Linked DNA regions of Saccharomyces cerevisiae S288C. Each later gene encodes a partner of the first gene's protein in a complex. Each region holds a gene or a part of one and is shown in the gene's direction. Other genes may lie near its edges. The genes, in order: ORC3 and ORC2.

The links.
Region 2: ORC3 (region 1) and ORC2 share a complex: the UniProt entries of both Saccharomyces cerevisiae proteins name them as parts of the origin recognition complex.

What each region holds. Positions count from the first base shown.
Region 1 is NC_001144.5:139,336-143,538, forward strand, and holds ORC3 (origin recognition complex subunit 3), read left to right. Parts: upstream 1-1,737; coding exon 1,738-3,588; downstream 3,589-4,203. Other genes in the region: SPO75 (Spo75p), read right to left, coding at 1-1,211; SFI1 (Sfi1p), read left to right, coding at 3,866-4,203. UniProt on the Saccharomyces cerevisiae protein: Component of the origin recognition complex (ORC) that binds origins of replication. It has a role in both chromosomal replication and mating type transcriptional silencing. Binds to the ARS consensus sequence (ACS) of origins of replication.
Region 2 is NC_001134.8:360,149-364,825, reverse strand, and holds ORC2 (origin recognition complex subunit 2), read left to right. Parts: upstream 1-2,311; coding exon 2,312-4,174; downstream 4,175-4,677. Other genes in the region: tRNA methyltransferase TRM7, read left to right, coding at 1-39; serine/threonine protein kinase AKL1, read left to right, coding at 4,639-4,677. UniProt on the Saccharomyces cerevisiae protein: Component of the origin recognition complex (ORC) that binds origins of replication. It has a role in both chromosomal replication and mating type transcriptional silencing. Binds to the ARS consensus sequence (ACS) of origins of replication.

The sequences.
Region 1 (4,203 bases):
GCCTGCTTGGTTTCTGAAGTTGCTTTCAAGGAATTTACTTGGAATTTAATGAGTTTTTCCTTGCGTATTATTTTATCAAGGATTCTGTATTTCCTTTCTAATATTGTTTCTGTATTTACATACAGTTTAGGGTAATATAACGGAAAGATGCTTGACTTTTTCCAGCGCAGACGAATTTTTGTGCAATAGTATGAAATTCTAAATTGAGTTAAAAATACCAATTTTTTGTACTGAAATAATAGATGGTTTTTCAACTTTGAAAAGAAAAATCTTTTGTGATTTGCTATCAAATGCCTGTGTATTGAAACTCTTCTAAAATATTTCTCTAAAATAATCTCAAAGATAATTTGTTCTTTTGATTTTTGTAATTTATTTAACTTTATTTCTAATTTGTGGACTTTCTTCAAATTTTTTGGAATGAAATGCGTCACGCCAAAGCAATCACTGTGTAGCGGCTGAAAAAAAGTTTCTAAAGAAATACTTTGGGTAACCAATTTACTTGAGAATCCTTCCAAATATAGAATGTTTTGGTATTTACTTTTCGTCAAAACGGAATATCCTAGTCGATTAACGAACCTCAGTTCCGAAGAAAGAATGAAGTGAAACCAGAGTACAACAAAGATACTCAAAAACAAGTGACAGATTAAAGTATTCGATGAATTAGGTGATAGATTTGACATGGTCCACTTGTCAAGTTTACTTGTCGTCCTGAAACTTTGCTCATAACGTTCACCTTCATTTTCTTTCAAAATATCCCTGGAAAAATAATGGATTGGAATTAGTATTGGAATGTTGATAATTGATAACACTGCAAAAAAGAATATCAAAAGTTTGAGAAACCGTAAAAATAGATAATTGTCTAGGCCATACCTTTCGTTTCGTTCGAATTTTTCCATAGGATCTAACATTCTTCCGGGAAGTTGCTTGAGAAATGCAAATAATGACCAATAATTTTTTATTTTTTTCTTAGCAAAACAAACTTTAGAACCTGGATGGATTTTCAGAACGACATTGGCCTGATATATAGTCTTGAATCTTGATCTTAAAATAATAAAGAGTGACAGCTGAAATAAAAAGTACAAAAAAGAAAACAATATACCAGATATGAACCCTTTTAGTGAGATTCCAGCATGTCTTTGCGCAGATCCAAATCTTTCTTTGTCTTGAAATTTATTCAGTAAATTAAAAGTCAGTTCTTTAGTAGCATTCATCTTCTTGGTAAGTCTTTTTCTTGTTTTTGAAAAAGAGTTCCTGAAGTTTGTCTACTGTGAATATACTTTGCACATTTGTTTAATTTTTAAACACGCTATAATTTGTGTCATAAAGAATTTTTTGTAGAATAGCTTTTTTTTTAATAGGAAAAAAAAATAAAAAAAGGTGGAAAAGACAATCTTTTCCAGAAACTTGAAACTATACTGGAGATGAAGGGTTGTCGTTGGTTGCGTTACGAGACAGGCTTGACAATTTCACAAGAGTAATGTTTCATTACCTGCTGTTTTATTATCTTTATATTTAGTAAGACCAGCAGAAACGCTACACGTGATGATAATGGAACTAAGCATTCTGTTAGATGGTAAGAATTTTTTTTACCTTCCATTACCACTAACGCCTTTTTTAGTGTCTTTTTGATATTTACTGACGTATTTTTCCGCACCGTAATTTGAAGAAAAAGAAAAGTGACAAAAGATGGCATTGTTTACATACAGAGTCGTAGTATCACAAGAGTAGTCCAACAGGATGAGCGACCTTAACCAATCCAAAAAGATGAACGTCAGCGAGTTTGCTGACGCCCAAAGGAGCCACTATACAGTATACCCCAGTTTGCCTCAAAGTAACAAAAATGATAAACACATTCCCTTTGTCAAACTTCTATCAGGCAAAGAATCGGAAGTGAACGTGGAAAAAAGATGGGAATTGTATCATCAGTTACATTCCCACTTTCATGATCAAGTAGATCATATTATCGATAATATTGAAGCAGACTTGAAAGCAGAGATTTCAGACCTTTTATATAGTGAAACTACTCAGAAAAGGCGATGCTTTAACACTATTTTCCTATTAGGTTCAGATAGTACGACAAAAATTGAACTTAAAGACGAATCTTCTCGCTACAACGTTTTGATTGAATTGACTCCGAAAGAATCTCCGAATGTAAGAATGATGCTTCGTAGGTCTATGTACAAACTTTACAGCGCAGCTGATGCAGAAGAACATCCAACTATCAAGTATGAAGACATTAACGATGAAGATGGCGATTTTACCGAGCAAAACAATGATGTATCATACGATCTGTCACTTGTGGAAAACTTCAAAAGGCTTTTTGGAAAAGACTTAGCAATGGTATTTAATTTTAAAGATGTAGATTCTATTAACTTCAACACATTGGATAACTTCATAATTCTATTGAAAAGTGCCTTCAAGTATGACCATGTTAAAATAAGTTTAATCTTTAATATTAATACAAACTTGTCAAATATTGAGAAAAATTTGAGACAATCAACCATACGACTTCTGAAGAGAAATTATCATAAACTAGACGTGTCGAGTAATAAAGGATTTAAGTACGGAAACCAAATCTTTCAAAGCTTTTTGGATACGGTTGATGGCAAACTAAATCTTTCAGATCGTTTTGTGGAATTCATTCTCAGCAAGATGGCAAATAATACTAATCACAACTTACAATTATTGACGAAGATGCTGGATTATTCGTTGATGTCGTACTTTTTCCAGAATGCCTTTTCAGTATTCATTGACCCTGTAAATGTTGATTTTTTGAACGACGACTACTTAAAAATACTGAGCAGATGTCCTACATTCATGTTCTTTGTCGAAGGTCTTATAAAGCAGCATGCTCCTGCTGACGAAATTCTTTCATTATTGACAAACAAAAACAGAGGCCTAGAAGAGTTTTTTGTTGAGTTTTTGGTAAGAGAGAACCCGATTAACGGGCATGCTAAGTTTGTTGCTCGATTCCTCGAAGAAGAATTGAATATAACCAATTTTAATCTGATAGAATTATATCATAATTTGCTTATTGGCAAACTAGACTCCTATCTAGATCGTTGGTCAGCATGTAAAGAGTATAAGGATCGGCTTCATTTTGAACCCATTGATACAATTTTTCAAGAGCTATTTACTTTGGACAACAGAAGTGGATTACTTACCCAGTCGATTTTCCCTTCTTACAAGTCAAATATCGAAGATAACTTACTAAGTTGGGAGCAGGTGCTGCCTTCGCTTGATAAAGAAAATTATGATACTCTTTCTGGAGATTTGGATAAAATAATGGCTCCGGTACTGGGTCAGCTATTCAAGCTTTATCGTGAGGCGAATATGACTATCAACATTTACGATTTCTACATTGCGTTCAGAGAAACATTACCAAAAGAGGAAATATTAAATTTCATAAGAAAAGATCCCTCCAACACCAAACTCTTAGAACTAGCAGAAACACCGGACGCATTTGACAAAGTAGCACTAATTTTATTCATGCAAGCAATCTTCGCCTTTGAAAACATGGGTCTCATTAAGTTTCAAAGCACCAAGAGTTACGATCTGGTAGAAAAATGTGTCTGGAGAGGAATTTAGATAAAGAATGCACGGATAAATAAGTAAATAAATAACCATACATATATAGAACCATAGAACCACGTTTTTGTAATGAACAGTCTACCTGTATCTCATCATTTTTCTGTGTTAACTATTATTATTATTATTATCGAATGGAGGGTAATATTATGTATAGGTAAAATAAATAGATAGTGCCATGATGCGCGAAGATTGGCAATGGGAAACTCAAGAAGGCAGCAACAAAAAAATAAAGGTGGCCTATTAATCACAATCTATTGCCTATATGTGCTAGGTTATGGGCAAATTCGGCACGACAAATAAATCAACGGAGAATCTTCTGCGTGATAAATTCGTACCCGAGACATCTCCAACTAATATTCCCACTGATGTACTCATCAAGCAAGGGCAAATAACGGATTCCACCGAATCACTAATTCATGGAGGCGCAGAAAGGTATATTGTTAACGCTTTAAAGCCTATAGAATTAAATAAAACTGAAGGCTTTTTCGAAGACCCGCCGTTCCATCTTCCTTCTCCACCGGTTGATTCGACAAATCTGGAGTATGAAGACGTTACCGATCTTCCTAAGAATGGTTTACGATATGATTTGAATGATATATCCGTTGAGGTAAT
Region 2 (4,677 bases), on another chromosome or scaffold:
GAATTAAAAAGGAGCGGGAAACTCACTAGATCAGTTTGATTGCAATATTACTACCTCTAATCAAACAATTAAATAAGTCACTACATTATAAGATTATCTACAAAATCAACTTTTCCTTGCAATCATTAAAAACGATATAGGTTACGGTTATGTAGAATATCCATTGTATAATATAAAAGAAAATGAAACAGTAATTATATTATATTATATTACATGCAAGCATTGAGGAGTATGGCAATCATTTTTCTTCTTTTTTACTTCACCTCGTCTCTTAAAACATCTGCTTTCGAATTTGCGAGTAATAGAACTTTCGAATTGTGACAGAACCATTGAGAACATGGTGAATCTGTCAATATTACAACCCAAAAGCCGGTTGGTGGTAAACCGTAGTACGGAGCATTACAAAGGATTCCATCGTATAAATTATGCATAAGCATCACCTTGATCCATTTGCCTTGCTCCTATTGCCCTGCTTGTTTGTAGGAAAGCCCCTTTTGGTCAAACGAATTGTTCAGTTCGGGTTTACGCATTACATATCTCCTTTTTAGATACAAAAACCTCGAAACGCTCACATAAACCCGGTTGTTCTTTTGAGTACCTGGCCAATGGAGACATAGCTTGGGGTTAAGTAAAAGTGAAAGTCAGGTTGATACATGTGCCTTTTATTCCACCGAAGAAAGCTTATCCAACATAAGAGCATTATTTAATGGGCTTTCCAATTTATTATTGGCATACACTTCTTTCAAAAATTCGCCGGTCTCAACGGCAGCAAGTGCTCAGCAGATGGAAATTATACGTTAATACTTTTTCCAATGTGATATAACGAAAAATTAGATACTGTGAATTGTGTTTGCCACCTTGATGTTGACTTAGTATTTCCTCTCGGTTGTAAAAGCCAAGAAGGTTTGACTGTTCGTCAATTAAGGTTCTTACGTGGGTTGTGCTAGATACGACGCGAATCAGTATGGTTTCTATCTGCCAATCATATCGGTTCTCTTCCATGGGCTAGAACAGATGAATTCTAGCTCTTTTTTAGCTGGACCAGTAAGGTTCAAATGGTATTTGATAATAGAGAATCACATATCTCCTTGTCCATTTCTGAAAGTATTAATTCAGTCATATCCAACTAGTCACAAACATCCGCATAGGCTTGATAAAACTCACAAGTGGCAGATTCCGAATTATGTGTCATATTGGGGTCATATTAGGACCTTCATTTCAGAATTGCTTCTGCTCCAATAAACTTTTTTTGATCCAAAAATCGTCTGATATAACGGGCGATGTCAATTGAATAATAAAACGGGTTCTATCTATTTTCTTGATCTTTGAAACCAAAACAGTTAGCAGGCAAGTGCAAACAAGTTGTCAATTGCACTCTGTTAACGAAAAAAATATATCTCATCTCCGCCGGTCTTCTTTGGTGGATATATATTACTCCTCCTTAAAGGTCATGCTCCTTTTTATGGGTTCTCGTCGTAATAATCCTGAAATTGTAAAATAATTTAGAGCTCAACACCACCATTGAGAACGTAGAATTTCAATTTTTAAGCTGATTCTCTTTCTGCATGAACTCTCCTAGCAATGTGAAACTTCTCTTAAGGGAAATTTTCGCCTTTTTGAATGGGCATACTTGGCCAAAAATTCAGGATTGAATATATATAATCGGAACTTGTATGGATAAAAATTTATATCAAGAGTCTGTTTCTTAATTGGATTTGCTGTGATCTAGTATTGAGATGACTATAAACCGGCCAGGAAATTAGTCTTTTCGAAGCTGGTTTTGGTTTCGCAAGAGTCTTTTTGACAGCTTTTTGGCCTCAATTTGTATTCCCTTAATACGCTTCTTCAACTCTGTCTTAGAGACCATTTCTCCAGTGGCCTCATCTAGGTGTAAACTAGCAATAGCGTCACTAGCTGCCGTGACATTAACTTGCTGTGGCACCTTTATATGTAATATGAACCATCTTTCAATGGATCATAAGAATAAGTGTCGTAAAAGGCCAAATATCCATGCATAAATATCGACTTATTCGCGTAAATGTGATATGGATCAGCTAGTACCAATTTCTAGTCTAGCAAAATCGGGAAAATTTTTCAGAACACCCACTCACCGCATCATTGAGGTGGAAATGACAATAGTAAGCAGAATTGTTATTCTTCACAATGTGTAAAAGTTATAAAGAAATAGGAACCACCTTTAAATTAAGACAAAGTAGAATATATTAGCTGAAATTGTATTTGATAATTGATCATTGATCTTATTTGCTATATCTTTAAAACAAGTTTTTGTAGTACTGCGAATTGCCATAACATGCTAAATGGGGAAGACTTTGTAGAGCATAATGATATCCTATCGTCTCCGGCAAAAAGCAGGAATGTAACCCCAAAAAGGGTTGACCCACATGGAGAAAGACAACTGAGAAGAATTCATTCATCAAAGAAGAATTTGTTGGAAAGAATCTCGCTTGTAGGCAACGAAAGGAAAAATACATCTCCAGATCCGGCACTCAAACCTAAAACGCCAAGTAAAGCTCCCCGTAAACGTGGAAGACCAAGAAAGATACAGGAAGAATTAACTGATAGGATCAAGAAGGATGAGAAAGATACAATTTCCTCTAAGAAAAAGAGGAAATTGGACAAAGATACATCAGGTAATGTCAATGAGGAAAGCAAGACTTCTAACAACAAGCAGGTGATGGAAAAGACGGGGATAAAAGAGAAAAGAGAACGCGAAAAAATACAGGTAGCGACCACAACATATGAAGATAATGTGACTCCACAAACTGATGATAATTTTGTATCAAATTCACCCGAGCCACCAGAACCTGCAACACCATCTAAGAAGTCTTTAACCACTAATCATGATTTTACTTCGCCCCTAAAGCAAATTATAATGAATAATTTAAAAGAATATAAAGACTCAACCTCCCCAGGTAAATTAACCTTGAGTAGAAATTTTACTCCAACCCCTGTACCGAAAAATAAAAAGCTCTACCAAACTTCGGAAACCAAGTCAGCAAGCTCGTTTTTGGATACTTTTGAAGGATATTTCGACCAAAGAAAAATTGTCAGAACTAATGCGAAGTCAAGGCACACCATGTCAATGGCACCTGACGTTACCAGAGAAGAGTTTTCCCTAGTATCAAACTTTTTCAACGAAAATTTTCAAAAACGTCCCAGGCAAAAGTTATTTGAAATTCAGAAAAAAATGTTTCCCCAGTATTGGTTTGAATTGACTCAAGGATTCTCCTTATTATTTTATGGTGTAGGTTCGAAACGTAATTTTTTGGAAGAGTTTGCCATTGACTACTTGTCTCCGAAAATCGCGTACTCGCAACTGGCTTATGAGAATGAATTACAACAAAACAAACCTGTAAATTCCATCCCATGCCTTATTTTAAATGGTTACAACCCTAGCTGTAACTATCGTGACGTCTTCAAAGAGATTACCGATCTTTTGGTCCCCGCTGAGTTGACAAGAAGCGAAACTAAGTACTGGGGCAATCATGTGATTTTGCAGATCCAAAAGATGATTGATTTCTACAAAAATCAACCTTTAGATATCAAATTAATACTTGTAGTGCATAATCTGGATGGTCCTAGCATAAGGAAAAACACTTTTCAGACGATGCTAAGCTTCCTCTCCGTCATCAGACAAATCGCCATAGTCGCCTCTACAGACCACATTTACGCTCCGCTCCTCTGGGACAACATGAAGGCCCAAAACTACAACTTTGTCTTTCATGATATTTCGAATTTTGAACCGTCGACAGTCGAGTCTACGTTCCAAGATGTGATGAAGATGGGTAAAAGCGATACCAGCAGTGGTGCTGAAGGTGCGAAATACGTCTTACAATCACTTACTGTGAACTCCAAGAAGATGTATAAGTTGCTTATTGAAACACAAATGCAGAATATGGGGAATCTATCCGCTAACACAGGTCCTAAGCGTGGTACTCAAAGAACTGGAGTAGAACTTAAACTTTTCAACCATCTCTGTGCCGCTGATTTTATTGCTTCTAATGAGATAGCTCTAAGGTCGATGCTTAGAGAATTCATAGAACATAAAATGGCCAACATAACTAAGAACAATTCTGGAATGGAAATTATTTGGGTACCCTACACGTATGCGGAACTTGAAAAACTTCTGAAAACCGTTTTAAATACTCTATAAATGTATACATATCACGAACAATTGTAATAGTACTAGGCTTGCTAGCTTTGCTTTCCCATAACCAACAATACTTAGTGATGTATCTTAAAACGACTAAAAAACTTCTCATATAACCCTACTGAAAAACGTCTGATGAGCTCTTCGAAAATTCAGACGAGTTATGACCTATATTTGTTTTTCATTTTTTTTAGGTGAACCCCGCCATTCTGAAAATGCCCTATTCAGAGCTCAATAACCGAAAAAACTTAAAAATACTGAATAAAAGCCATAATCCTATGAACCCCCTTTCTTGAATGAGTAAATTCAATAGCATTGTTGAATCAGAATCGGTGCCTCGGGAGCATAAGCAACACAGGACATCATAGAGATAATTTTAGTTGCCATTCATTTTTTGCTATTACGTTTTCCCAAGCTCTTGTTTTCGTCCCTGTCGCCTGTTATTTTCTTTCTAATTAGCACTGATCATGTCGATCACGAATGGTACTTCTAGAAGCGTTTCGGCA